Pelodiscus sinensis: one gene and its partners. The protein of the gene in region 2 interacts with the protein of the main gene of each other region in a biochemical or structural test. Links are inferred from orthologs where the notes say so. Each region holds a gene or a part of one and is shown on either strand. Other genes may lie near its edges.

Region 1 (6,980 bases), on a different chromosome or scaffold from region 2:
TGCTCTCTGGCACATCTGGGTGCCTGGCCTTGGAGCACATGGGGTGAGGGGATGGTAGTGGTCAAGGAAGGGGGTGCGTGGAGTGGAGGCCAGAAGATGGGTCTAGTAGTGGACAGAAGGATTGGGCTGGGAGTCAGACAGGACATCTGGGTTCTATCCCTGACTCTAGAGGCCCCACCTGAAGACATCAGCTGCCTCACTGTACTCCCCCCGCAGCAGCTCAGGTGCCATGTAGCGTGGGTCACCCTCCTGGGCATCACTCAGGTCTCCACGGTCCAACTCCAGCACCAGGCCAAAGTCGCCCAGTTTGCAGACGTGGCGCTCGGTGAGGAAGACATTGGCTGGCTTTATGTCCATGTGCAGTAGCCTGCAGGCATGCAGATGGCGCAGCGCCTGCAGCAGGTCCCAGAGGCAGGCCCGCACCTGGCCCTCAGGCAGCGGTCCATGTCCCTCACAATGCTGCAGCAGGCTGGCCGGGCATAGTTCCGTCTGGATGTACAGTTGGCCCCGCTCCTCCCAGGCCCGCACAAAGCTCACGCAGTTGGGATGGCGCCCCACTTGTTCATGCTTCCGCACCTCGGCCAGCTTGCGCTGTCGGTCGCCGGCTCCCCGGAATGGCTCCACTGAGCGCTTCACTGCGTACAGTCGCCCATCTTCCTTGCTGCGCACCTGTGAGGGAAGGTCAGCCATGGGGGACACAGATTCCCCCCAACAGATTACTTCCTTTCCCCACAAAATAACTCCATGCTCACCCTCCATGCTGCAAACCTGGGGGAGTCTGAATCAGCCACCAGGGGAACAGGCTCAGGATGAGTCATGCTCACCCCCCAGCTGGGATTAAGGATGTTAAAATGTGGAAAATCAGCTAACAGGTAGTGGATGGAATTTCCATTGACTACTTGATTAGTCAATTGGAGGGGGGACGGGGGGGGGGGAACGCTGCCCCCACTGTAGCTCTGCAGCAGGGTTAGCTCCCTGGGGCGGCATGAGCCAGGAGTAAGTAGTCCTTGCTTGTGCAATCCCGGGAGCTAAACCTGCTGTGGCTCTACCTTTTAAATGTCGTAAGAGCTGCCAGGCCCTTACTACATTTAAAAAGCAGAGGCGTAGCGTCTGGGACCAGGTGCAAGCCGGGACAGGTGATGCCTGGCTCGAGTCTGGTCCCCTGTGGTGCCTCTCCTTTCCCTGCGCTCTGCCTCAGCTTTCAAGGGGGCTCTTCCCTCCACTGGTTCCTTCTCCCCCAGCCCTTGCTGCCTAGGATAAAGGCAGCCGGCGGGAGGGGAAGCAACCAGTGGACAACTCGGCTAGTCGCTTATGTCCCTAGATGGGATCCCCTTAATTTCTGCATCTCTTAGCTAGAATTCCTCATCCCAGATGCCCCCAATTCCCACATCCCGTCCCCTGCTGGGATCTGCCACCTTAGCCCTCTTACCTTATACACCTCCCCAAAGGAGCCGCGCCCCAGCCGGCCCAGCAGCTGGAAGCACTGACTGAAGAAGGGCTCTCTGCGGGCAGGGTTGTAAAGGCGGCTATGTGGGGCCAGCGCCCGATCCTGGGAGCTGCGAAAGGAGACGCTGCGCGGCCGAGGTTGGCTCCAGGGCTGCGGTTGGCGGCTGGCAAAGACCCGGCTGACAGTGAGAGTGCCCTTGTGGCGTGGCCGGGGCGGGAGGGTGTAGCTGAGTGGCCGACCCGGCTTCTTCACTGAAAAGCTGCGCTCGGCCTCCCGGAAGAAGGCCGGCACGGGCACGGGCAGGGGCGTGCGGCTCAGCTGGGATTCGGTGCCCGCGTAGTCCAGGGGCAGCGGCATGGCTGGCTCTGCCAGGGGGAGACACTGCAGGGAGAAGAGGACAGCAGCTGGGGAGAGCACCAGGGGCTGGTTGGTGGCTGTGTCTCAAGGTCAGCACCCATTGGCATGGGCGAGGGGTGTGGGGAGGGCAGGATAGGCTCTGCAGGCCAGTCCCTTGGTATAAAAACAGGGTGGGGGACGCCCCGCACGGTCCCTGCCTTGGGCAAAGTGGGGGGCCCTGGCGGGCTGGGTACAGCGCGGGGAGGGGTTCAGCCAGGAAGACACAGGGGGCCAGCTTGGGGGAAAGGGGCTGGTGACAGGGGGGGTCAGTGATGGGGGCTAGCAGGGGGGCCAGTGGGGCAACCTGACACAGCAGGGGGCTCAGTGAAGGGGGGACCTAGCAGGGTGGGGGGGACTCAGTAATGGGGGGAACCCAGTGACGGAGGGGCTCTGCCAGCGGGGGGGGGGGGGTAAGTGACGGGGGGGGCAGCCCAGTGACGGGGGGGCTCTGACAGCGGGGGGGGGGGGTAAGTGACGGGGGGGGGCAGCCCAGTGACGGGGGGGCTCTGACAGCGGGGGGGGGTAAGTGACGGGGGGGGCAGCCCAGTGACGGGGGGGCTCTGACAGCAGGGGGGGGGTAAGTGACGGGGGGGGGCAGCCCAGTGACGGGGGGGCTCTGACAGCGGGGGGGTCAGTGACGGGGGGGCTCTGACAGCGGGGGGGGGTCAGTGACGGGGGGGCTCTGACAGCGGGGGGGGTCAGTGACGGGGGGGGTCGCCCAGTAGCGGGGGGGCTCTGACAGCGGGGGGGGGTCAGTGACGGGGGGGGGTCGCCCAGTAGCGGGGGGGCTCTGACAGCGGGGGGGGTCAGTGACGGGGGGGGTCGCCCAGTAGTGGGGGGGCTCTGACAGCGGGGGGGCCAGTGACGGGGGGGCCCAGTGACGGGGGGGCGGGTTTCTGACAGAGACGCAGTTGGGGGCGCTCGGCGTGGGCCCCCCAGCGCGAGAGAGCCCCCGGGGGGCGGGGCCAAGGGGCCTCACCTCCTCCCCGGTCCCCGCGGGGGGAGGGGGGAGCGCCGCGCTCGCTGGCCGCAAGTACCCGGATGTGGCGGGCTCCCCGCGCGCGCCCCGAGCCGGCCCAACCGCCGCTCCGTTTGGCGCCAAAACCGTCCGGCGCGGCGCGAGCCGCCAACCGTCCTCCCCCGCCTCACCACGTTAGCCAATCAGCGGCGGCGGCCCGGGGTGGCCCCGCCTCCCGCGCGCGTTCACCCCGCCCACCGCAGCCCGGCTCCGAGGGGCGGGGGGGGGAGCGCGGCCGAGACACGTTCCCGCCCACAATGCACCGCGGCAACCAAAGTGTGGCCAAGCTCCCCCCAACCCAGCCCCTTGCAGTAGCAGCCCCCCACCCCCCCTCAGGGCAGCCCCCTCCACTGCCACCCCCCTCTTCAGGGACAGCCCCCCCCAGGGATAGCGATTCCCTTCCCCCGCCTCACCCACATTCACCACCCTCGCCCCCACTCCTGTGGGGAGAACTCCCCAGAGCACGACCCCCAGGTGCCCCATGTCCAGGCCCCCCCCCCCCCCCGGCAAGCCAATGGGGGGGGGGAGTGAGGAGACAAGCTGCTTCGTCAGGTTGCATGGGGGGAGGGGCTGACCAATCACGGTTGGGTGTGGGGTGGGAATCCCTCCACTATGTCAGCTCCCCCAGAGAAAATCACCCCCCATCTCTCCTTGCCCGGGGCAAACAGGACTAGCCCCGCTTGCCTGGACGGCCCCCTGCCCATCCTTCCACAGAGACTCAGCTTTACTTTTTCTTAATGACGATTCTAGCACTATGATGGCGAAGAAAAGCTTCACAACGTGCCTGGAGAAGAGCCAGCCTCTGCCGGAGTGTGCGGAGAGCAAACGCCAATTGCCGTGGGAGGTGTGAACGACAGTGGAACTGGGACAGCGCGCAGGCGTACAGAGATCTCGAGACTTCAGCTTTGTGCGGGATCTTTATTGCAAGCGCTCCCACATCCCACTCTCTAGCTACAAACACATATTCTCTGCCTAGCCAGTAAAAGGGAGTTAACAACCGAGTCACCCCGCTCCGACCTTCCCGGTATTCCTGTACAGGCCTACCCTTAAAACCCCTCTCTCCTCGCTGGCCAAGCCCAAGAGGAAGGGAGGTCAGAAGGGTTGCAGCCTCACTTTCCAAACACATTACATTTACCAGTCACTGTTTGTTTTTCTGTTAAAAAGACAGATCTGTAGCCATTAAAAATAAAGAGAAAGAGACGATAATTTATCTCAGGAGAAATTCTTTGCTTTTTCAGCACCAGAAGCGGTAGGCTTCTGCCATCCTGTGGTGCGAAGTTCCCCAAGTGAAGGTCGGGGACTCAGCACTTCCCGGGAGGGCAGCGACCTGGCATAAAGAGAAGCATGAGGTCAGAGCTTCAAGAGAGCAGCACATCTTCAAGGGTGAGTGGAGACTAGTGCATCCACCCACACATGTGGGGATAGAGAGCTATTCCTTCCCAGAGCCCCTGCCTTCTCTTTCTCTAGATAACAGGGCATTGATTCTATATGGGATATACCATCATCCGTCTTACCTGGGCTGCGTTCCTCCTTACCCAAATACTGTACTCTTCCTGAAGTTCACCCTGCTGTGACATTTGCAGCCACTGCCCATGTCAAGCCCTTAGCCAAACTGCAGAGATTTGGCTCCTTTAGCTTGTGTCCTCCCCCAAGATAATCCCCTCCAAGAGTCATAGCTCTTCCCTGTTTCCAAGATTCACCCCCCACCAACACACATGCCTTCCCCAATTCTTACCTCTGTATCCATTCCCCAGAAAGCCGTTCAGCCCATACTTGGCCTCCTTGCTTCCTAGAAGCGGGTGGGAGCAGATGAGAATTGGTCACTGGCCATCCCCGTCTGCTACCCAAAGGAGAATGACTCTCTCTGGACAGCAGGGGAAGGCACAGGACACGCATGCAAGAGCAGTTTTGGTTGCATCACAAGACAATAGGATAAAATGTTGCGTCTCTCCCCCACTCCCCCCCACACACACTCCTACCATATGCTGCTGGGGAGAGTCCATAGCCTCCAGGAGCCTGCCCTGCTGTGAGTGGCCCGTATCCCCCTGCAACAGCGACAAGAGTTATCAGGAGGGGTGGAGTGGAGTGGGGCAGGAGCAATGGCTGTGGGGGGAGCTCCCAGCTCCCTCAGTCCCAGAAGCAAATGGTGCAGGGTGGGGATCTTACCAGCAGCCAGTCCGTTAGCCTGCAGATCCCCTCCGTTTGCATGTCCCAGTCCATTCCCGTTGCCTGCTGGGGGAGGGGGCAGGAAATTAGCACAGGAAGGGGCTTTGAGCCCCTGGGGATGAGTATACATGTGTCCAGAGGCAAGGGGGGACCCATGTGACTGGACAGCCCCTCACCATCTCTTACCATCCAGGGAACTGGGCCCAGCCTGTTGTGCCCTGTACATTAGTTGCCCTGCACCACCTGGAGGAGGAAACATGGTAGTGTTGGTGAGTGGAGATCTCAGCACAGGGACAGGAGATTGCACTGCCTACGGGCAGGGCGGGACGGTATGCTGGGAACCAAGGGAGCTGTCACTGCGGGAGGCTCCAGGATCTACTGGTAGATCCCAATCTACTGGTTGGTGACCACTGGTTTAGGCAAAGCAGGGTTGGCAAGGGGCATCCCAGCCCCCCGCCCACATCCCTGCACAGGGTGGGGGTGGGACGAAGATACTGGGCGGCATGGCACAGATTGCTGTGCACCGAGGCATGTGTGGATGTGCACTACCAATAGAAACACATGTAGGCGGCTGTGGGCACTCTGCCAGTCAGCTGGGCAGCATTTCAATGTTTTCTAGGAGGCCACCCAAGAGCACAGCTTACTGGGGACACTGCTGCTGCACCTGAAATAAATCTTCTGGGGGGGGGTGTCTGCCCTTCACACTTCCCTCTATAGCAACTCTATGGACAAGTTCACCCACCGTAGGAGCCCAGAGCCCTTACTCACACCTACCTCATTTCCCAGCACCATAGTCTCCCCCCAGACCAATGGGCATGGTCTCTTGGAACTGCCCATGGTCTGGGAGCTGGCCCAGGCCTACAGCATGGACAGGGTGTCAGGATGGGGGGCACACTCCTTTGCCCCTCCCTCAGCCAGCCAGTCCCCCGTACTGGGTTTGGATTGGAGCACAAGGCCCTGTGTCCCGTTTCCTACTTCCCAGAGCTAAGCAATTCCTGGCTCTGCGGTCAGAAGGACTCACCATATTTAGCAGCTGAGAGATCTGTGCTAAGGCTGGCAAAATGCCCTAAGTAGGTAGCCTGGGCACCTGGGGATGGAATAGATTAAGGCAGTTAGCTTGGCTTGTGCACCTCTGTTCCAACCCACAGCCCTGGATTCCCCCCACAGCTCGGCCAGAACCCCTCATTCCTGCCCTGCAGCCCCCTGCCAGCCCAGCCCTGCCCCGCCCCTCGCTCTCCTCCCTCTGTCACTGGGCACACCGTTGCCATATCCTGACTGGAGTCCGGCCCCAGGGTGACTGTTCCCTCCTGCACCGTAGCCTAGAAGAGAGATGGGAGATCAGACAGGCTCAGCCTGGATGTGGAGGGGGGGCGGGAAGTGAGGTACAATTTGTGGTCCTCTTACCATTCCTGTATCCTGGCTGTGCCCCATTGGCCAGGTATCCACCGCCTACTCCAGCGATTCCTACAGAGCAAAGAGAATCCAGATTGGGGTGCACTGCTCCAGCCCTGGCCTCTCCCAGTAAGGGGTGCTGTGGGGGGTGCCGTGGGGAGCAGGGTAAAAGTGCTAGCAGCGGGGGGGGGGAGCCCCTTCTACTCCAGCTCTGGCTCTCTCAGCAGGGGGTGCTGTGCTTAGCTCATGCCCCTTACCTTGTTGAGCTGTGGGGTAGCTGCCAACTCTGGGTCCTGCCCCATAACCTGTGGGGGGGAGATCCCAGAATGAGACCAACCTAGAGCACAGAAGAATCTGGCTTCTGCACTGTGGGCTCTGGCACTGGAGGCTGGAAGCATCGGGGCGGGGGGTGGAGAGGGAGGGGGCTAGCAGTGAGGGGGATGGTTAGCAGGGGGCTGTGGGTTTTGGAGGCAAGGATAGATAAATCTCTTTCAAACCCTTCAGGCTGCTCGGCAGGTGAGCTCCTCTCTGCCCAGGGAGGGGAGGGGGCATGGCAGTTGG
Region 2 (6,879 bases):
AGACCCCAACCCAGGGCCCTATTAATGGTGGGTGGTTCCCACCACCGGCTCAGCGGAGAGTTCTCCCCGAAACGTGCCAAGCCCACCGGGGGTTCCCTGCCCCTTGCCCTGGGATGCTTCCTACCCCAGTCCTGTGGCTGACAGAGACTCCACCTGCAGAAGCTGGGCTGGCGGCGGCGGCGATGTTGGCAGGTCCGGTGTCTGCGGCAGCAGCGAAGGGGTTGTCCACCGTGGCGGGGCGGGTGACCCTCTGGAGTCAGTGTTGCGGGCACACTCGACCTGGGGACGGTAGTAGCAACGGGGCTCTTGCTCCGGCGGCAGGTCCAGTGGTGGCTCTGGAGGTTGGGCAGGAGCTCCTTCCACCCCGGAGGCCAAGCCCCTTCTGAGCAGCTCAGCAGTCTTTTGTACTGGGGCTGCACTGCGAGCATGCCCAGCAGGGCTGCGGGGGAGGGGCATATACCACCCAATAGGCGGGCTCTCCGCCCCCCTGTTCAGTGTGGGGCAGGTCAGCCCCACCACACTGACAAAAATGTTAAATTTAATTATGCTTTAGCTATACTCAGCCTCTTGGACTAGATCCTGTGCTCCATTTAGGTCTAAAACTAGAAATACATCAGCCCTTGTAGCAGAGAGGACTCCTGATGAGGGGAGAGAGCACAATTTAAAGATTGTGGTGGTATGCAGTGGGATTCACTGCAGATACTCAGCAGGAAAACGGGTCTGATTTCCTGGAAGCACTTTTGATGTCATAGTATTGACAACATAACAGCAGATGAACTCCACTCCTAAAATGAGCTACTCCTGACATAGGTGCAGACTTCTCTTCTACGTGGATGGGGGGAGGAGCATGTGCTCACTTCTCCTCTGCCCTAAGCCCTGCCCCCATTCCACCTCTTCCCCCAAACTCTCACATCTGCCTTACCTCTTCCTGCCCCTGGTGTGTCCCCAAGCACACCCCATGTCTACTGCTCCCTTTCCCTCCCAGCACTCCTGCACACTGCTGAACAGTTGATTGCAGCATGAAGAAGGCACTGGGAGGAAAAGGAAGGAGCAGGATCACTGAGGGGTGGGAGGGTCTGGGGGAAGGAGAAGCTTGGCTGCCTGTGGATGCTAAGCACCCACTAATCATTTTCCATGGGTGTTCCAGTGCTCCTGAGATTTACAGCCAAATGTGAAACTTGGAAGCTTGGAAATGTTCTTGTTGTAGCACAGGACTCGTTAGGCTTTAGACCCTGCTGCAGATGGTGTCAGGGATTGCTCTAGGCAGGTAAGGAAGCCAGTCTGGGAAGAGAAGTAATGAAGAGAGAGAGCTACTGCATCTGAATCACTTTCTGGGGGAGGTAGACAGAGAGCAGCTGTGGAGAGCCCAGCACCAACTGTGTTATGCAGGTGATGGGGGACAGGACTGTAGGCACTGGCAATAAAAGCTTAGAGCCAGGGCAGGCGAAATACAACCTGCAGGCCATATCTAGCCCACCACGATACTCTAGGCTACCAGTGTATCAAGGTCTAGCAAGATTTCTTGGGTAGCCTCCCTGCCTGCTGCAGCCTTATACACTGCTCAAAGTACTTGGCTGGTGGGGCCATGTGCATTTCTGCACCATGCACCTCATGTGGATGGGGGCTCTGTGTACTGCCCCACCTGCAGCACAATCCTCGCAGCCCCATTGGCTGGAAACCGGTCAATAGGAGCTGCCTGGGCCATGTTTGCAGCACAGAATCCTGTCCCAAGGTCCTGCTGGGCTGCTGGCCAAGAGTTGCCTAGGGTAAATGCTCCTGGTCAGATCCTGCACATAGCACTCCACCTCCTTCTTTCCCACCTAAGGTCACAACTGTCAAGTCACAGGGCCAGGGCTGTGGATTCGCTTCAAGACAGAGTCAATGGCTGCTTTTATTAATCTCACTACGTCATTACTGTTACAGGCTTAATACTGGCAAATGGTTACACAGCTACAGCAAAGTAATACAACAATCAGCATAGGCAAAGCAATGCATATAAGAGTAACAGGCACTTGAAAATGCTTGTGCCTGTTTAGTCTGCGGGAAGTCCTGTTCTGGTCTTATATTGTGGGAATAAGTAAATAACTGTTCCTTATTCACTTTTTCCACACTAGTCATGATTTTATATCCCTCCCTTAGTTTCTTCTTTTCTAACTTGAAAAGTCCAACTTTTTAAAAAGTCTAACTTTTTAATCTCTCTTCATATGGGACCCATTCCAAACCCCCTCATTATTTTTGTTGCCCTATTCTGAAACTTTTCCAATGACAATATATCTTTTTTGAGATGAGGCGACCATATCTGTACTCAGTATTCAAGATTTGGGTGTACCATGGTTTTATATAGTCATTAAGATATTTTATCTTATTCTGTATCCTTTTCTTAATGATTTCTAACATTCTATTTGTTTTTTTTTGTTTGTTTGTTTTTTTGCTGCACACTGAGTGGATGTTTTCAGAGAACTATCCACAAAGACTCCAAGATCACTCTCTTGAGTAGCTGTAGCTAAATTAGTCCCCATCATATTGTATGTATAGTAAGGATTATTTCTTCCAATGTGCATTACTTTACATTTATCACCATTAAATTTCATTTGCCATTTTGTTGCCCAATCACTTAGTTTGGTGAGATTTTTTTAAGCTCTGTACAGTCTGCTTTGGTCTTAACTATTTTGAGCAGTTTGGTATCATCTGGAAATTTTGCCACCTCACTGTTTATCCCTTTCTCTAGAAGAGAAGTGCCGTGGATGCTGCCAAGAGCAGCAAGGGAGTCTAGAGCCCAGCTGCCAAATGCATTGCCCACTCATTCTAGGAAGTGCCATAGCAGTTTTGCCAAGCTCAGGCCTGTATAAAGAGGGGAGAAGTTGGCAGCACATTTCATGGCAGCCAGGCTCTAGCCTTTATTTATGTATCTATTATTACAGTCTTTTCTGGGTTTGTAGACTCTCTAATCTCCCTGAGCATTTCTCAGCATGATGACCAGTGCAGCCCCTTCTAACCCCATAATTCTATGACTCTATCTAGGTGCCTAAGGAGCATCTCATGGAAAATATGTAGATGGGTACATCAGCTTAAGTATCTGCAAGCATTTTACAGAGTGACAATATTGTCCCATTTCAGGGGTGCTGCTAAGATACTGGATTCAGAGTATTAGATCCTGCAATGATGAGATGTTAGGGTTGCCAATTTTGATTGAAAGAATTCCTGGAGATTTTATCATCACATGACAATTGTTAATAAAAGATTAATCTTTAATTCCTGGAGAAGCTGCGCCAATTCTGGAGGGTTGGCAACCCTAAGCATGTGAGAGAAGGGAGTAGGGAATACAGCTGGTATCTCCACCACTAATTGTCTGGCCTAAGACTGATGTGGAGGTGCTGTCATTATTCACATTAATTACAAAAAATCTGAGGCAGATCAATAATGTTTCACTGAAAACATAGAGAAGTCCTTCATCCTAGGAGGCACAGACAGTTTAAAGTCCCAGCAGGGTACCTGTGTTAGTCTGTATCTGTGTTAGTCTGTATCTGCAAAGTCCTGTGGTAGGTACCTTAAAGACTAACAGATTTATTTGGGCACAAGTGTTTGTGGGTAAAAGCCATTTCACCAGATGCGCTCATGAAAGTTTGTGCCCAGATAAGTCTGTTAGTCTTTAAGGTGCCCCACGCTAGACAGATGAAAGACTGTTAAATATATTCCAAAGCAAGAAGCTTTCGGGCCTGTCAATGCCGTTTTGATTTTTAAAGACCCGCCCACGTTACATTATCTCCTTTGTGTTAGAAATCAGTGGGACGCTCAGTAGCATTTTCAGATTGAGGAGCCCGCCCGCGCCACTACTCGAGGCCGCCTTTCGGCGCGTCCTTGGCGCCTGCCCAGGAGCGCCTGCTGATTGGCTGCTTTGAATATCTCGGCGCGACGCAGTTGGCGGAGCTGGGGCGGCTCAGCGCGGTCAGTTCGAATCGGCCCCGCACAGGCGCGTGGGGCTGTTGGTGTCGCGAGGCAGGCGGGTGAGTGCCTGGGCCGGTGGGTTTCTAACTGGGAGCGGCCCGTGCCCTGAGCCTGTGAGGGAAGGACCCGCGTCCGGCTGCCCTGGGAGCGTGCGGCTCGGGCCGGGGCAGCGCAGCCAGGGTCCCGATGAACGCCGTGTCCGCAGCGCTCCGGGCCCGTCCCGCGGCCAGGGCTGGGGGCGGCGCGGGAGCGAAGCAGGCCCATTGAGGCTGGTAGCGAGCTGCTCTTGTCCGTACGTTAGTGCCACCGTGGGGAGGGAGCGCGGCCGCAGGGGTGCCTGGCGGCTGCCGGACCTCAGCCTGGCTCGGGGCTACACTCGCCCGCGCGTCCGGAAACGTTAACAGGCGTTTAAGCTCAAACCTGGGAACCTAAACGCCCCGTGACCGCCCCGGAGCACCTAGAAACCAGCACGTCTCTGTGCGGCGCCCTCCGCCACCTGCCCGTCTTTGTCTTTCTGAGCACTTGATGGTACGTTTTGTCTTCTAGTCAGCTTCAGCCTTCCCCTGCTCGGCAGACCGCTTCCTTTGTGTTGCCTTTTTAATACAGCAGAAGAGCAGGCGGTACGTTAGGAAAACGTAAGTAAAACCATAAAGGGCAGACATCTGAATAGTTACTTTAAACTTTCAGGTTGATAGATTATGAAAACTGAAAGTGCTTTAAGGTGCACTGTGTCATCTGGTAACCTCGCATTAGCGTTCATACAATACAACTTTGTGTATACAACTGTAGGAATTCATGACCTATAGATGTGGTAGAAAGGCCTCTGCCCCAAATAGGCTTTCTTTTATTGTGTTATATGTTTGAAGTAAAAGCAGTATTAATAACTTTTTTCTGTGTTACCTGAATTTAAATGTTGGGTAATCATGTTGCCAACCTCAAAGCCACCCCAAGATAATATTAAATTGTCTGTTCCTTTAGAATACTTCACAAAATGGTCCTGTCAAACTATGAAGAGCAGTAGTTCTCAAACTTTTTTGACCTGAAGCAAAATGCAGGACAATGTAGCACTTTAAAGACTAACAAGATGGTTTATTAGATGATGAGCTTTCGTGGGCCAGACCCACTTCCTCAGATCAAATAGTGGAAGAAAGTAGTCACAACCATATATACCAAAGGATACAATTAAAAAAAATGAACAAATATGAAAAGGACAAATCACATTGCAGAACAGGGGGGGGAAGGAAGGAAGGTAAGTGTCTGTGAATTGATGATATTAGAGGTAGGGAGAGTGGGATGTATGTGAGTTAATGGTATTAGAGGTGATAATTGGGGAAACTATCTTGGTAATGGGTGAGATCAAATGTTTAAGTCCTTTTTGGAAAGTGTCGAATTTTAACATGAATGACAGTTCAGAGGATTCCCTTTCAAGTGCAGATGTAAAAGGTCTTTGTAGCAGAATGACCTGTGGAGCACCTGGCTCAATGCAAACCTTTCTGTGGACCACCAGTTGCTAATGGAAACTCTCCGTTAATTACATAACTTTGCCCGAATCATTTTGCTAGTGCTTCAGCTAGGGAGAACAGTTTAATTTAAATAATTTAACTGATTAAGTTTTTTGACCTGTGGGGCTCTTGTGCATTTCAAAGGGCGAATATAGAACTCTGCCTGCAGCCCAGGGCCAGTGGGAAGTCCTACTGACTCTGGACTTCATGTGGGTGTGCCAGCTTTGAAGTGTACAAGAGTCCCCAACTGGGGCTCTTGTGCATTTCAAAGCAGAAGCACAGCATGGAACCTGGGGTCAGTGGGGGACTCAGTCCCCCTGCTGACTCCGGGTTCAATGCTGTGCTGCTGACTTGAAATGCTGCCTGGGGTTAGCTGAGAACCCCCCCCTCCCCCAGCTGACCATGGGTTCTGCGTGGCATTTCCCCAGAACCTGGGCTCTGTTGGGGGTCCCCAGCCGATCATGGGCTCCATGCTGCATTTCAGCAGAACCCAGGATCAGCTGGGGGGTCCCCAGCTGAGACTGGGTTCTGTGCAGCATTTCTCCAGAACCCAGGTTCTTCTGGGGACTCCCCAGCTGACCCTGGGTTCTGCAGAAATGCCAAGCGGAGCCTGGGATCAGGTGGGGAGTCCCCAGCTGACTCGGGACTCCACTTGGCGATGCCATCTTGAAACGCTGCCTCAGCGTTTCAAAGAGGCAACGCTGCACAGCTGAGCCTGGGATCAGCCTCTCCCCCCCGCCCCAAGGGGGGGGTGGGAATCAACTAGTCAACTGACTATCCGATAAGCATTTGTTTATCAGATAGTTGACTAGTCCTTAATATCCTTAGTGGGGAACATTCTTAGGACAGTCTCTCCTATGTTTTCCATTATTTCCTCTTCACTCTCAAATTTGTTTTGCTCGCTTCTCTACTAATGCAGTTCTTGTCTCCTTCCTGATGTCTTGGTGGCAGCACTGCAAAGTGGTGTCAAATGCAAAGCAAACAAAAAGATTGACAAAGTAGACCCTGCCCATGCCTCTGCCTCTATTTACATTCAAAAATTCAGTTTTTCTATTTTGAAGGTATCTCTATATATTTTCACTTTCACCCTCATATAAGCAATCAAAATAAATTAACAAACAGGTTTTCTTCCTTATATTTCAAACTGTGCTCCTTGCTCCATATTTGTCATCTGAAGAAGTTGTGCCTATGAAAGCTCTTGATGCTATTTATATATTTTTGTTACTCTCTAAAGTGCTACAGGGTCATTGTTTAAAATGTTTTTGTTTTTTTAAATTAGATACTAACAAGGCTACCGCTCTGAGACTTCCTGTCTCAAGTTCATTGTGTCCCCATTATGATCCTCTACTGCCTCTCCTAAAGTCTTATGCTGTTGTGAGTGGTTGGAACTAGGGATGTTAAGCAAGTATTTCACTAATTGTGTAGTCCATAG
Region 3 (7,383 bases), on a different chromosome or scaffold from region 2:
TGAGATCTGACCAAATGGGCACCACCACCCTGGCATTTTTTAATAGAGGTCTTCACAATTTGCTCCCAATTTTTTCTCCTAAAGATTTGGGTGCAACGTTTCTTGGTTTGGTCCCAGTTCTGCAAGGCCTCCTGTAGTTCAGTGAGTCCCAGGGTGCTAATGCAGCTCACCTATACATACTTCAGCTAGCTTTAATCCAAGCAGCAGGGGCATGGGCTATATGAGGCTGCCTAGAACCCAGATCAATTACTTGAGGTGGTCAGCCTGTGGTACTGCGACTTCACGGCGCCAAATCCACGTGCTAAAAGCAGATTAAAAGTAGCTCTGGTACATCAACATAAGCTGCAGTCGTGTCCTGGAATTGCAGCACAGATATACTGTAAGTATCACATGTGTGTGTCTTCTGGACCATTGTACTTGGGCAGTGGTTTTCTACCTTCTCCAAACTGATCTGACCCCATTCCATCAACTTACAGCAGTAGAAGTGTTTCAGGACCTTCCTCCTAGCTATAAAGAAAGAGGAGGTTTGCAACCTCCCCCTGGAACCTGATCGCAACCCCCCAGGAAAACAGGGAGCCCATTTAATTAGCACTGAAAGCGGTTGTGCAGAGAGATTAAATCTCTAGCAATGCCTTTGCAGCGCTAACAAGACACAATGGTTTTGAAGATGCTTCAGTTCCATTTACTCTCTCAGCTGTAGCAACCACACAGGGTCCCCTTTACAGAGGGCTACCCTCAGCAATGGGTAGTTTTGCTCCAATTCACACCAGCACAATTCACCCCGTCGTGACATCCATGCAGCCTTCCTCGCCAGGGCTTCACTGCTACAGCCCAAAATGGGAAGTTCAGATTCCTAAACAAGTTGCATAGTGGGATCAAAGCCCAAGGAAACCACACACGCATCCTGAATGCACAGGCCTTCTAGGTTTTTTAAAAAAAGTGCATATGGGCTCATGTTCAGTTGTGGAAGTGACTCACGAGTTAGTAAACCTCAGAAGCCGCAGCCTCATGTAAACACCCCTATGCATTACTCACTACAGCCAAAAGCTATTCAAGGATTCTCTCGCTCAGCCCTAATGTTTTGGTTTGTTTTTAAAAGTTAAATTCATGGTCACTTGGGTACCTTCCAAGCCAGGATGCTTCTCAGAGGTGATACATCCTTTGAGCATCTGTCTCTGAAAATCTGGCCATGCAGAGCTTTGGACTCACAACATACTTCCCTCTGCCCCACAGAGAAACCCCTCTCCAGCAGCTGCATGGGGCAGGACTCACCCCACTGTGCTAATTCAGGGTCCCATCTCCCCATTTTGAGCCAGTAGCGAGGTTTTTGGCAGAGCTGTGTTACCCTGCAGGAAAAGAGAGCCAGGAAGTAGGCTAGAAACACAAATCCTTTTGTAGATGGTCCTACCCAGCATCCAGGAAGCTGCATGAATAGATTTGCAGCTTCTCTGGGCTAAACCCCTTCCAGTTTTTGCAGCAGCTCTGATAGGCAACCTCAGTGCAGCATTATGGGGCACTGGGAAACTGCGGATATCTGTGCAGGGATGTCATAGGTCTCTTCCCTGTCTAGGCCAGGTCTACACAATAGCCATGCCACTGTAGTGCCGTGGCGTAGATGGAAGATTTTTGTGGCATCATCTTAATTAATCCACAATAGCTAGGTGGAGGGATGAGTCCTTCTGTCATTGTCCACCTCCACACCCGGGGTTAGGTTCACCTAACCACACACAGTGCTCAGGGCATGAAGTTTTTCACAGCCCCCCAGGGACACAGGTCGACCTAAGCTTTAGGTGTAGACCAGGCCTCTGGCTTACGAAGAGAAGCAGTCAGTGGTGCAGGAGGAGCTAGTCAGGTCACATGGCTGTCTTGCTGTGCCCTGAACCCCGCGGGCAGGAAGCGAAAGCACAGCAGACACACGCAGCTGGCTGGCTGACACCTGAGGAAGGGACCTGATACTCCGGCTGTTCTTTCGGACGCACAAGCCTCCGGCGTGTCTCCACACCCTAGCCCAGTTTCACAGCACCATTCCAAGCAACCAGCCCTGCCGATCCAAGGCCCAGTCACCACCTCCCAGATGAACCACACACACAAAAAGGGAGACCCAGTGGAGACCCATCTCCTGCGTACATCTCAGTCTCATCGTGTGCAAGAAGGCAGAGCAGCCGCGCAGGGACACCATCAAAGCAGGGTGGTGCCAGCAGCAAGGGAATAGCATAAATAAAAACCTGTTTGATTGAGGAATAGAGGAGGGCTGGAGGGGGAAGGACCGGACAGGATGTGCATGCAACTCCATCCCTATTAACTTTAGGAACATTCCAATGCTGTACGAGAGCAGCCCAATCCTTTTAAATGAGCACAATAAAAGGAAGTGAGAAGGGGGAGGGAGAGAGAGGTCACAGGAAGAGACACCACCAGAAGCCCTGGAGGGTAGAATAAAAGCCACCCATTTGGAGAAGGGCTTGATTCCAGGAGAAAGGGCTGGCCCCCTCCTCAAGAGGAAGGAGCGGGAGTGGAAAGAAACCTGGTAAAGTTTACAGCGGGGGCAGGCCACGGTCTGTTCCCCCCCTCCCCACTTTTGGACTGCCACTGAGGCCAGCCCCAGCCTCCAGAGGGGGCGGAAGCGGAGCTCTTCCTGGGGGGCTATCTGGAGCCCCCAGGAAACCCGGCCTGGCCCCCAGCTGGGAGGCAAGCGTGGGAGATCCCAGGTGCTGGTACTTCCCACCACACACAAGATTGGCAGCGCAGCTCGATCGCTCTCAGCACCCCGGCGCTGCAGAGTGTGCCAGCCCCCTCCTCCCGGGGGGGGGGGGGGGAGAGCCATGCACCCCCCCCTAAAAACCACCCCATCTCCATGGGCACACACCGACCTTAGCATCCACCTCTCTGGTCCCCAATGGGAACAAGCCGGAGGGGCAAATGGAGCCCTCCCCCCGCGCACGCCCCCCCGCAGCGGCTTTACCCCCGTCTGGTCGCGGCTGGAAAGAGACATGGCCTCGGGCCCGGCCCCTTTAAAGGGGCAGGAGAGGGGGCGTCCCAGCGCGCTACCTGCCCGCTGCACAAGGCACAAGGCAGCCCGCCGGCTCCGGCCGCTATTGGCAGAGCCGCAGCGCACAAGACACGGCGAAGGGGCAGGAAAGCGCTGTCGCGCGATTTGAAAATGAAACCGGCTCGGAGTGTGCGTATTTGCAAAGCTCGCAAATGCTGGAAGGGGGGGGGGGGGATCAGGAGCACCGAGAGCTCAGCCAAAGCCACCCACCCTCCCCCGAGCCCTGCAGCGGCCACACTCCGCCAGCCGCCCGGAGCCGATTGCAAGCTAGTGTCCCCCCCCCCAGCCACTGCTGCTCCACCCCAGCGCCCAGGTGGGGTGGTCTCCGGAGGGGCTTCCATCCATCAGCTCGGAGACCTGCTGAGGAAAGGCCCCCCGCTCCCAAAGCAGGTGCTTTAAGGATAAAAATAAAGCAGGGTGGAGAGGCAGCATTGCAGTTTCTGCCCCCCCCTCCAGCCCCGTGCAAGCCCCCCCCCCCCACCTGGCATACTGCAATGCACGATGCGAAGCAAAGCAAAAGGGCACATCGATTCCGCATGCCTGGCTTGTTTTCCTCTGCAAATTCTTAAAAACAAACAAGCAGGCTTCAGAATTACTTTTTTTTTTTTGCAATTGGAAAATGATTTTTTAGCCCCCCCCCCAAGCTGCACATTCGACTAAAAAATGGTAAAAAAAACGAAAAGAAACATCAACTCCCCCCCCCCACACCTCCTCCACCCAAATCAAAACGAAAAAAAAAAAAAAAAAAAAAAAGGCCAGACACTCACAATTGCTCTCGGTCTCGGCTCTGTGTGGTGTTGTGTTTTTTTTTCCTTGTGAGTCTGTGTTGTGATCAAATTAAACCCCAACCCCCCTTCTGGTTGCTGCTGATTGCAAATGCGGATCTGAAACAAGAAGGCAGGGACTCACTCACATACATATACAGACCAGCCAGGGCTCTCTTATTTATATAAATAAAAAAAATTGTTCCAAGAGGAAGGAAGCTGGGTCAAAATCATTTGCACGGGGGAGGGGGGGAGGGGGAAATAGGAAGGGGACCAAAAACAAAAAAAACCTCCAAGCCTTACAGGAGGGACTATCCAGCTACTAAAAATAGCAAAATCACACTCTAAATTAAATAAGGGCAGGCTGGCTAAGCTTAGGGGAGTGTTAAGCCCTTCTAGTTGAGGAAGGGTGGAGCTCAGCAGACGCTACGTCATCACCAGTGGGTGGGGAACATGCAAAGAAGGGGAGGGGAAGGGTGATTTAAAAGTGCTGCTTGGTTAAAGCCAATGTTGGAAGGTGGGTGGAAAATGGCTAAGAAAGAACCATCACTAGCAAAAACCAGCAGGAGCAGCCAGGACCACTGTCTCCTTCCCCCTTTTAACAAAACAAATCTGGTAAGATGAAGGAGAGGGGAAGAGAATTGTTTTTCAGAGTTGTCATTTAGACACATAAATATTTAAAGAGGGTAAAAGAAAGCCCCTCAATTGTTCTTTGGTTTAAAGGAGAAATGATTTCTGTATGGTTCCTGTGGGATAGGTAGCAGGCAAAGGGCTGAGATATGAAGCTATTTATTATTTTTGAGAGCGATGCTTGCAGGCAGCTTTAGACCCTCAATTTTTTACAAAAATCCCCCTTTTTACATGCATGAAGTCATTTTGATTGTGAGCAAGGGTGGGACCTGTTTTTGGGACCTGCTTGTGCTGTTCTATGACTATGTAAGTCCTGGTTTACACCAGTGGTGGGTGAATGAAAGATCAGGACACTGTACTGTAATGTAGGGAACTTTTCCACAGCCTGGGCTGAATATCAATAGATTGTCTTGTCACCTCCCCTCCTATTTGTGATTGTTCTAGCCCACCTCTGACCCATGTTCTCCATTGCATAGTATCTGTGTAGTAGCTATGGTAATTGCTTACATGGAAAAGTGACATTAGGAATGTATTATTTAATGTATCTTTAGATTATTTTAACATGATTTAGCTGCTGGTAATCAGGAAAAACGAGCCCCACATGGTCAGCTACAAACCACCAGCCCCCATTTTTTTTAACCTAAGTTATTCTAAGATCAAAGTCTATTAAAAGTGAAAGGATTTTTAAACTCCAATTCACTTGTCCCCCATTATGGCCTTTTGTGTATGTTTTACATTTCTCCCCACCTGGATGAGGAAATGAACGTTTCTCTTTTGCTGAGGATCATTTTCCCATCCAAGTTCTTCCTCTGACTTTGGGCTTCAAACTCTGCAGTTAAAAGTAGTTTCATTGTCATTTTCTTCTGAAACTGAAGACTCATCCAGGGAGCCAAAGTTTTAAAATCTGGGTGCCTAAAGTTAGATTCCTAACTTAAGATTTAGGAACCTAAATCAAAGTAGCTGGTTTTTCAGACCTGCGGAGTAGCTGCAGCTTTTGCAAGCTCTTGGTCTGCAGTAAGCTCAGCATGGCCACAAAGATTCACCAATGCCAATTTTATGCAGGATCAAAGCTATGGCTCTAGATGAGGGCTGAGATTTTCAGTATCTTTGAAAATCAGGCCATTTTATAGGAGGGATAAGATTTTTGCCCAGTGCTTAGCACAGTGGAACATTGGTCCATATCTTCAGCTCCTACGAATGAATGCAATACAAAATATAATAGTATTTTGAAAAGTACATAAACCCTTTAGGAACATAGAACACTGAGAAGAAACCTAAAGGAGTTAGGTACTGAACTCTCATTATTCAGTGGGAGTTGAGTGCCTAACTTTCTGACTTGTTTGACAATTCCCATCACAAATCCCAGTCAGTAAAGTTTCTTTTTCATTAGTCCCTTTTTGAAAAAGTGGTTGCAAATTCTCCTGTGAGTTCTTAATTTAAGCACACATTGTTATTCCTGGCAGCTGCAAAGTTTGAAACAGACTAAAAATGAAAGGGAAACTGACCAGTCTGTTTTTAATGTATAGAAAAATACACAAATGGCATAAATGGAAAAAAAAGTAAAAATTCTTAGACTAGTTTTATAGTGGGTAATGCCACTGAATTCAGTGAAGTAATTCCTCATTAACGCTGGTGTGAGAGAAAAACACCATGATCGGGGCTTGATTCATCTCAGTTGACAGCAGTGCAAGTGAGGTGAGATGCAAACCAACCATGCTGATGTGTTTTTGTTTTAAACCTACTTTTTTACAATATAAAGTTTTAGTAACACAGGTAGATGCATATTATTTTTTTGTTTTAAATAAAAGTTAACAGTAAATAATAAAATCACAGGTCTAAATCTTCATTGCCTTGTGTTATTTCCACCTGTGCCAACTTGGTGACCTCCTTAGGCCTCTTCCAGCTCTATGATTCTAAGTGATTTTAAAATGCTGGCATTTTGGCTGGACAGTGATTGACACCCACATTGCCTAAACAAAATGACCCCAGCAAGGTGTAAGACAATGGAGAATAAACTCTGTCACATTTCATGGAGTTTTCCTTTCATATGTCTAGTTCCTTTGCTGAGAGATTTTGCCCTATATTTCAAGGCTGCCTTCAAAATTTGGTTCCTTATTAGAATCATAGAATCCCAGGGTTGGAAGAGACCTCAGGAGGTCGAGTCCAGCCCCTTCTCCTGCCCAAAGCAGGACCAACCCCAACTCAATCATCCCAGCCAGGGCTTTGACAAGCCGGGTCTTAAAAACCTCTAAGGATGGAGATTCCACCCCCTCCCTAGGGAACCCATTCCAGTGCTTCCCCACCCTAATAGGGAAATAGGTTTTCCTAATATCCAACCTAGACCTCCCCCACTGCAACGTGAGACCATTGCTCCTTGTTCTGTCATCCGTCACTACTGAGAACAGCCTCTTTCCGTTCTCTTTGGAACCTCCTTTCAGGTAGCTGAAGGCTGCTATCAAATCCCTCTTCACTCTTCTCTTCTGCAGACTAAATAAGCCCTCAGCCTCTCTTCATGGGTCATATGCTCCAGCCCCCTAATCATTTTGGTCACCCCCCACTGGACCCTCTCCAATGCGTCCACATCCTTTCTATATTGGGGGGGCCTATCTATACTAGACGCAATACTCCAGATGTGGCTTCACCAGTGCTGAATAAAGGGGAATAATCACTTCTCTAGATCTGCTGGCAATGCTCCTCCTAATGCACCCTAATATGCCATTAGCCTTCTTGGCTACAAGGGCACACTGTTGACGCATATCCAGCTTCTCATCCACTGTAATCCCCAGGTCCTTTCCTGCTGCTTGTCGGTCCCCAGCCTGTAACAATGCTTGGGATTCTTCCAACCCAAGTGGAGGACTCTGCACTTGGCCTTGTTGAACCTCATTAGATTTCTTGTGGCCCAATCTTCCAATTGGTCTAGGTCACTCTAGACCCTATCCCTGC
Region 4 (7,069 bases), on a different chromosome or scaffold from region 2:
GCGTATTCCTGCAACAACACATCAAAACCCAAAGCATCAGGATGGAAATATTGGTGACAATTACCAGGATGTTCACATGCTGATTGATGGAAGACTGGACTCAAAAGGAGGATCTCTGTCAGAACTCTCTTCTGCATCATGCCCCCGCTTAGAGCCACCAGAACCATAAGATTATCCACCCCCATCAAAACATTAGCTCTGTCAGCCACTTTGGGAGCTCTTAAGGGCACTTTTATAAAAAGATGGCTCCTTTCAGTCAGAGATGGCTCCTCAGGCCCCCCCGAGAAGTTTAGCGGCCATTAGGGATGTAATAGTGTAGTCGATTAACCAATAAGCAAAAGCTTATAAATTAATGCTATAGACTACACGCATTCCCCCCTTGCCAGTACTTTTAGCAGGCCAGCCAGCAGCCCAGCTCAGTCTTGGCTTGCGTCAGGTCTGGGACCTACCCCACTGCGGCTCTGCATTTCAAATGTATTAGGAGCCAAGCAGGCTGGCAGCCCAGCTCAGTCCTGGCTTGTGCCAGGTCTGGGAGCTCAGCCCCTGGATAGGGGCTGCTGCCACGCAGTGCTGCTGCCTCTGTATCAGAGGCAGCAGTGTGGGGTGACAGGCAGCAGGTCTGTGAGGGGAACTGGTTTTTGAACTGGCTCCCTTTGCAGACTAGCTCCTGCCTGGCACCCCGCGCTCCTGCCTCTGATACAGTGGTGGCAGGGGCCTCTGAGGAGCAGGGCCAGAGCACGCTGGCTGCCAGCCCCTGCCTCACCCCCAGGGACTATAGAATAGTCAAGTAACTGATAAGAATTCATGAGGTTAATTGGCTATTCAGGTAACCGACATTTAACATCTCTAGTGGCCATGCTATTTACACCAAAAGACTTTTGATTTTTTTTTTTTTTAATGAAAAGCCCGCTCAGAATTCCTTGCAAAAGCAGGGACAGAGTCTTATAGACAGGAGCCTCTGACAGGTGATCCTGACTGGTTTGGCTGCCCCTCCCCACACTGCCTTGCCTCTCCCTGCCCAGACCCTCAGAGCTGCCCCCTGGGAGCCTCCTGCTTGTTGTGCAGGGTGGGGGAGTCAGAGGCAGGGGGTGCTGATGTCACTCTGTCCCCCTCCCCTGTACCCCATCCTCAGAGTGAGGAGGGCAGGGCCTTGGCAAAGGGGTGGGTCAAGGGCAGGGCCTTGGAGAAGGGGCAGGGCGGGGATATTTGGGTTTGAGTTAAACCCTGCACTTCAAAAAGTGATCTTGTGCTTCAAAAGGGCAGAGACCACTGTCCTAAATTCAGACCTCAATGTCTCAATCACCCCACCCCTCAAGAGCAAGCTGCTGCCCCAGCCCTTGTAGCAGCACCAGTTGACGTGCACCCTGGTTCACGCTGAGCAAGGAGACTGACTTTCATCCCAGCTTCATCTTCCATGCTACCTGCACCACCAGGGCTGCTATGCTAAAGGGAGAACAGACGCACTATTAGGTCTCTGCCTGCTGGGCAGCCTGGGTGCAAAGAAATCAGCCCAGAACAAGCCAAGCTTGTGAATGGCCCAGCCCCTCTCCTCCTACTACAGCGTTGGCTGGCAGGGTGGCTATCGGAGCCTTGTGCCTGGGGCTATTCCTCATCCCACTACCAGGCAGACTTTCCCCACCTACTGCCAGTACCCGAGGGGGGCCTCTTCCTGGAGGAGGTGGCCACGATGGGATTTACCCTGCCAAGGTGCTGAGGTTCCTAAAGCCTCGAGCGAGGTCCGTGACCGGGGTGCGGGGCAGCTCCGGGGTGAAGGGCAGAGAGACCTCCGTGTCCCTCAGCAAGTTCAGCACCATCCTGCATCTGGCTCGGAAACCCAGACGGGAACGGGGGCTGCCGGGTCCCGCAGGGGAGATATTCCCGGCCATGGCGCTGCGGCCCGCGGAGCCGCCACCTAGGAGCAACGCGAACCGAGTCACCCGCGGCAGCCTCCCGTGCCCATCCCCGGGGCCTCCCGCCCGCTGCTCTCAGCGTCCCGTGCCCATCCCCGGGGCCTCCCGCCCGCTGCTCTCGGCCTCCCGTGCCCATCCCGGGGCCTCCCGCCCGCTGCTCTCGGCCTCCCGGGCCCATCCCCGGGGCCTCCCGCCCGCTGCTCTCAGCCTCCCGTGCCCATCCCCGGGGCCTCCCGCCCGCTGCTCTCGGCCTCCCGTGCCCATCCCGGGGCCTCCCGCCCGCTGCTCTCGGCCTCCCGGGCCCATCCCCGGGGCCTCCCGCCCGCTGCTCTCAGCCTCCCGTGCCCATCCCCGGGGCCTCCCGCCCGCTGCTCTCGGCCTCCCGTGCCCATCCCGGGGCCTCCCGCCCGCTGCTCTCGGCCTCCCGGGCCCATCCCCGGGGCCTCCCGCCCGCTGCTCTCAGCCTCCCGGGCCCATCCCCGGGGCCTCCCGCCCGCCGCTCTCGGCCTCCCGTGCCCATCCCCGGGGCCTCCCGCCCGCTGCTCTCGGCCTCCCGTGCCCATCCCCGGGGCCTCCCGCCCGCTGCTCTCGGGCTCCCGTGCCCATCCCCGGGGCCTCCCGCCCGCTGCTCTCGGGCTCCCGTGCCCATCCCCGGGGCCTCCCGCCCGCTGCTCTCAGCCTCCCGGGCCCATCCCCGGGGCCTCCCGCCCGCTGCTCTCAGCCTCCCGTGCCCATCCCCGGGGCCTCCCGCCCGCTGCTCTCGGCCTCCCGTGCCCATCCCCGGGGCCTCCCGCCCGCTGCTCTCAGCCTCCCGGGCCCATCCCCGGGGCCTCCCGCCCGCTGCTCTCAGCCTCCCGGGCCCATCCCCGGGGCCTCCCGCCCGCTGCTCTCAGCGTCCCGCGCCCATCCCCGGGGCCTCCCGCCCGCTGCTCTCAGGTCTTGGCCTCACCCCCTCTAGCTCCAGGTCCCGAGCCCACAGACTTGAATGAAAATAGAATACTCGGAACTTAAACCTGCCGCCTGAGCCCAGCCAATCACAGAGATTGGTGCCGATCGTGACCAATCAGAACGACTGAAGGATGCCCCCCTCCCAAACAAAATCGCCGCTCTCTGATTGGGTAAATCCGCGTGACTCGAGCGAGGTGCGCACCTATTCGGGGAGAAGCGGACGGAACGTTTTCTATTGGACGCTCGAAGGGGTTCCGCCCATCTGTGGCTCTGTGAGGCCAATCACCGTCCCCGGGAGCACGTGGTTGCTGGGGTTGCGGCCGTAGATATCAGTGAGGCGAGGCCGGCCTATCGAATGGGGAAGGTTTTGCTTGGTTGTGACGTAGTGCTGCATACACCCCCACCGCTTGCCTCTCATGCTGCCAGAGTCTCACGCGCTGGGCGGTTGGGAGCCGCTGGCCTGCAGGTGGGGCGCGTGGGCCGCGCTCGCGCTGTTCCCCTGTCAGTCAGCGCCCCGTTGGGAGGGTTCCCGGTCCACGTGGGGCCGGCGCTGCCCTGACCGAGCTGGGGGACCCGCCCCCGCGGTCCCTGGGAGCTGGGCGCTTGCGGGGCTCGGGCACGGCCACGGAGCGAAGCCGCCGCTGGGTGTGTCTGCGCCTGGTGCACAGGGACGGGAAGGAGCAGAGGGCACCCGGGCTCCCGCCTTCTGGGCCAGTGGCTTTCCAGTTAGGGGCTGGTGCATGGCTGGGGCCCTTGCTGCAGTGTCCCTGAGGAAGGAAAGCATCTGGGCCTAGGTGATGGAGCTGGCCTTGCTGCCCGCTGGCGGCACTCCGGGCTTATTCAGGACCAGAAGTGCAGGAGCAGGGCGTGCTTGGCACCTTGTTAGCATGACTTCTTGTGCATAACGCTTCTAGCCTGTGTCTCACTTGGCTGATCATCCTCTCCAGGCATTTGGAGACTCTGTTACGCAGAGCCCTTTGGCTGCCTTCACAGGCAGTGACTGCTGCCCTTGGTTTGGAATTGTTCTTGGAAGCTCAGTTTTTAGCTAGCTCAACCTGCAGAAGAGAGGTCTGTCCCTGGCCTAAGCACTGGCTTTTCAGAAGTTAGTGTGTTCTTCCGGCCGAGGAGTAGTAGGATCACTGAGCTCACTGCCTTGTAGGGAAGGTTTGCAAACTCTGTCTAAGGTGGAGAATTGATTTTTCTTCTGTAATTGACATGCAGTTCTCTATTTCACGAACCTCTTGTTCTGGGATGTGAAGAGCCTACCTCTGGAACAGCATCTGTATGTGATAAAAACAGGTGGGTGGAAATGTGTTGTCTGTCTACAGTTAACAGACATTTGACTGTATCCTTAGAGATAAAATGCATGTAATTAACGGGGCAAAGAGACAAGGGAGCTGCTTGCAACCCTCCAAATGGGGTCTCCCTGGCTCATGTTGGGCCTGATGTTGCTGTGCTGTGGCAGCTCCCTGTGCAGCCTCATTGTATGGCTAGATGTGCTGTGGCAGAATTGGCAAGGGAACTGCCAGATGTCTCGATTTAGGATTATTTCTATGGCTTCCAGCATAAGCATGTTTAATATAGTGAGATCAAGGGCATAAGAATGAGCAATTTGTGCTGGAAAACAGCAAGGGTATGTCTACATTGGCCAGACTTGTGAAAGAACATATGCAAATGAGGCATGCCTCATTTGCATACTTAATGAGCCACTATTTTTGCACAAGGGGCTTTTGCGCAAGAAGGAGCAGTCTACACTGCTCCTTCTTGCGCAAAAGCCACCTCTTGTGCAAGAGCTGTTCTGCTGCTTATTTTCAGGCAGAACGGCTCTTGCACAAGAGGGGGTTTTTGCGCAAGAAGGAGCAGTGCAAAAGCCCCTTGTGCAAAATGGCAATGCAGGATAGCGGCTGCTCTGGCCAATTTCTGGAACAGAGTTGGAGATATGGAGGACATTGTCCCCTCTTGTATCCTGAAATAGTAGTGTAAGAACCTGTCTCCAGTACATCTCCCCACTTGTTTCCCTGCTGCCCTCCCGCTAGGTTGGATGCAGAAAGCTAGAGCCAGGCAATGCAGGATAGCGGCTGCTCTGGCCAGTGCCACAGAGCAGGAAGCAGCCGTTGTCCCTCGTCTTCTGCTGGTGCCCCAGACTGAATCTGCTCCTTAGTTTCCAGCCCCCTTTGCACCCACAAAGGCAGCAGGTAAGAGCCACCCAAGTGGAGAGATGCAGTTCCATGGTTGGCAGGCCCTTCTGGGAACAGGGACTGCAGGGGACACCTTCCAGCACACAGCCCATAGTACCCTCTTCCTGCACCTTAAGCCAGCTCCTCTCTGTATACATCTCCTAGCCACCACTCCTCCCTGCATCCTGAGATACCCCCTGTCAGCACATAGTCCCTAGCTGCTCCCTCTCTGCACTCTAAGCTGTTTTCAAACTTTTTGCACTGTGCCCACCACATTTAAATTATTTCTGCTTGTGCTCCCCCCAACCCAGCCAGGCTGACTTGCTGAGGTGAATTGGGGTGAAGGTGGCTTCTTTCTGTGGACCCCACTGCATAGGCATGGGAAGTTGGGGTATAGGGAGTGCTACAGCACTCCCAGCCCCACATGCCAGCTGGACAGTGGTAAGGGGCTCACCACGCTCACTTTTTAAAATGTTCCTGCACAACTGTCCCACTGTACAGAGCTGGATCAACCACTGCTGGCCCTGATGCCCTCAAAATAGAAGTCAAACTATGCCTACACCCAAGGTCCCTGCCCTGAGAAGTCGCCCTAACTCTGCTGGACCCTAGAATTCTTAATAGCATGTTGGGGGGCATCAAATAGAACAATGTTGAGAATCCCTGGGATGAAGGATGGATGAAGTGCATGGCTCACAGAATAAGACACTTCCCTTCTCCTAGGCTCCTTCCCTGCTCAGAATTCCCATTGTTCAGGAAAGTGGTTGTACATATTGTAGCCTGGGGAGGAGATATAGTGGAATTTAGTTGGGTAAGGCTCGCCAATCTGACCAGAGATTCTAAGTCGATCTTCTCTATCCCAGGTTACAAGTGGGTAGAACCAAAAGATTCCCCCTCATAAGGGTTTGCAGACGATTGACAGTCACACTTCAGATTAGGAAATGCAATGAAAATCAATTTTATTGCCACAGGAATAACGATTACAGAAACCACAAAGAATATGGCAGTAAGAACATAGATTAACTGAATTTCTTCCACAGATCAAACTACAACTTATCTATGTATACAGATATTACATAAGAACAGTCGTACTGGCTCAGCCCAAAGGTCCATCCAGCCCGGTATCCTGTCTGCTGACAGTGGCCAGTGCCTTCAGGTCTGATTGGATTAGAGGCAAGGCTTTGAGACAGACCTACCATCAGCTTTATAAGAAGGCAACCAGAGTGGCCAACAGGGTAGTTTGCCTGAGAGTTCACCCTGAGGAGAGACCCATAGTGTTTGGTCTTTTCCTTGAATTTTTTTCTCTTCTGCCCTTCAAAGGGGCATTTAAAAACATGTGAGAAATCTCTCAGAAAGAAGGCGGTGAGATGGTGATGGGTCTGCTGCTACCTGCACCACATGTGCCATGTTTGTCTTCCTCCCAGAAGACAGAAATGATTTCATCTGCACTAAGTGCAAGCTGGTCGCCGTTTTGGAAGAAAAAATTAGAGGACTTGAGGCTCAAGTATCAACCCTACGTTCTGTCAGAGGATGAAGATTTCCTCGATAGAAGGCAGCATTTAACCCTGCAGGCACAGCAGGCTGAAGAGCCAGTCAGGGTAGTACAGGACAAGGAAGAGAACTGGCAGCATGTAATCTCCTGGAGAAGAAGGCCAACTCAGGTGTCTCCCATTCCTGTAGAGGTAAGTAACTGCTTTCAGGCTCTCTGCACAGGCACTACGGTGGAGAATGCTTTGGCAGGGACCTCTCAGGGAAGAAATCAGAAGGGAACACCATCTACTGGAAGGAATGGGATGTGTAGTCCTAGGGATGGGGGGGTCCACAACCCCCCTCCCCAAAAGAAGAAAAGTGGTGGTGGTTGGGGACTCCCTCCTAAGAGGGACTGAGTCATCCATCTGCTGAGATCTGGAATCTCAAAGTGTGCTGCTTTCCAGGAGCTTGAATTCAGGATGTGACTGAGTGTCTTTCAAAACTGATCAAACCTTCCGATTGCTACCCCTTCCTGCTTCTCCATGTAGGAACAAACGATACGGCCAA

Evidence for each region.
Region 1: of the proteins of CDK1 (region 2) and PKMYT1, one has a biochemical effect on the other in vitro, tested with the Homo sapiens proteins (2 studies listed by BioGRID and IntAct). The link is inferred for Pelodiscus sinensis from reciprocal best matches to the Homo sapiens genes CDK1 and PKMYT1.
Region 3: of the proteins of CDK1 (region 2) and HMGA1, one has a biochemical effect on the other in vitro, tested with the Homo sapiens proteins (3 studies listed by BioGRID and IntAct). The link is inferred for Pelodiscus sinensis from reciprocal best matches to the Homo sapiens genes CDK1 and HMGA1.
Region 4: the proteins of CDK1 (region 2) and CDC25C form a complex in vitro, tested with the Homo sapiens proteins (3 studies listed by BioGRID, with this or other methods). The link is inferred for Pelodiscus sinensis from reciprocal best matches to the Homo sapiens genes CDK1 and CDC25C.

The regions. Positions count from the first base shown.
Region 1 is NC_134714.1:134,509,086-134,516,065, reverse strand, and holds the start of PKMYT1 (membrane-associated tyrosine- and threonine-specific cdc2-inhibitory kinase), read right to left. Parts: upstream 3,011-6,980; 5' UTR 2,881-3,010; exon of another isoform or gene 2,823-2,880; intron 1,829-2,822; 5' UTR 1,805-1,828; coding exon 1,430-1,804; intron 670-1,429; coding exon 179-669; intron 1-178. Other genes in the region: GREP1 (glycine-rich extracellular protein 1), read right to left, coding at 4,163-4,188, 4,597-4,650, 4,841-4,906, 5,028-5,093, 5,214-5,270, 6,049-6,114, 6,287-6,346, 6,432-6,491 and 1 more. UniProt on the Homo sapiens protein: Acts as a negative regulator of entry into mitosis (G2 to M transition) by phosphorylation of the CDK1 kinase specifically when CDK1 is complexed to cyclins. Mediates phosphorylation of CDK1 predominantly on 'Thr-14'. Also involved in Golgi fragmentation.
Region 2 is NC_134718.1:23,046,892-23,053,770, forward strand, and holds the start of CDK1 (cyclin-dependent kinase 1), read left to right. Parts: upstream 1-3,858; 5' UTR 3,859-4,004; intron 4,005-4,010; exon of another isoform or gene 4,011-4,237; intron 4,238-4,246; exon of another isoform or gene 4,247-4,473; intron 4,474-4,491; 5' UTR 4,492-4,580; intron 4,581-6,879. UniProt on the Homo sapiens protein: Plays a key role in the control of the eukaryotic cell cycle by modulating the centrosome cycle as well as mitotic onset; promotes G2-M transition via association with multiple interphase cyclins.
Region 3 is NC_134737.1:11,423,351-11,430,733, reverse strand, and holds the start of HMGA1 (high mobility group protein HMG-I/HMG-Y), read right to left. Parts: upstream 3,009-7,383; 5' UTR 2,990-3,008; coding exon 2,868-2,989; intron 1,347-2,867; exon of another isoform or gene 1,273-1,346; intron 1-1,272. UniProt on the Homo sapiens protein: HMG-I/Y bind preferentially to the minor groove of A+T rich regions in double-stranded DNA. It is suggested that these proteins could function in nucleosome phasing and in the 3'-end processing of mRNA transcripts.
Region 4 is NW_027465994.1:524,300-531,368, reverse strand, and holds the start of CDC25C (M-phase inducer phosphatase 3), read right to left. Parts: upstream 3,002-7,069; 5' UTR 2,860-3,001; intron 1,913-2,859; 5' UTR 1,887-1,912; coding exon 1,699-1,886; intron 9-1,698; coding exon 1-8. Other genes in the region: oocyte-specific histone RNA stem-loop-binding protein 2, read left to right, coding at 4,080-4,157. UniProt on the Homo sapiens protein: Functions as a dosage-dependent inducer in mitotic control. Tyrosine protein phosphatase required for progression of the cell cycle. When phosphorylated, highly effective in activating G2 cells into prophase.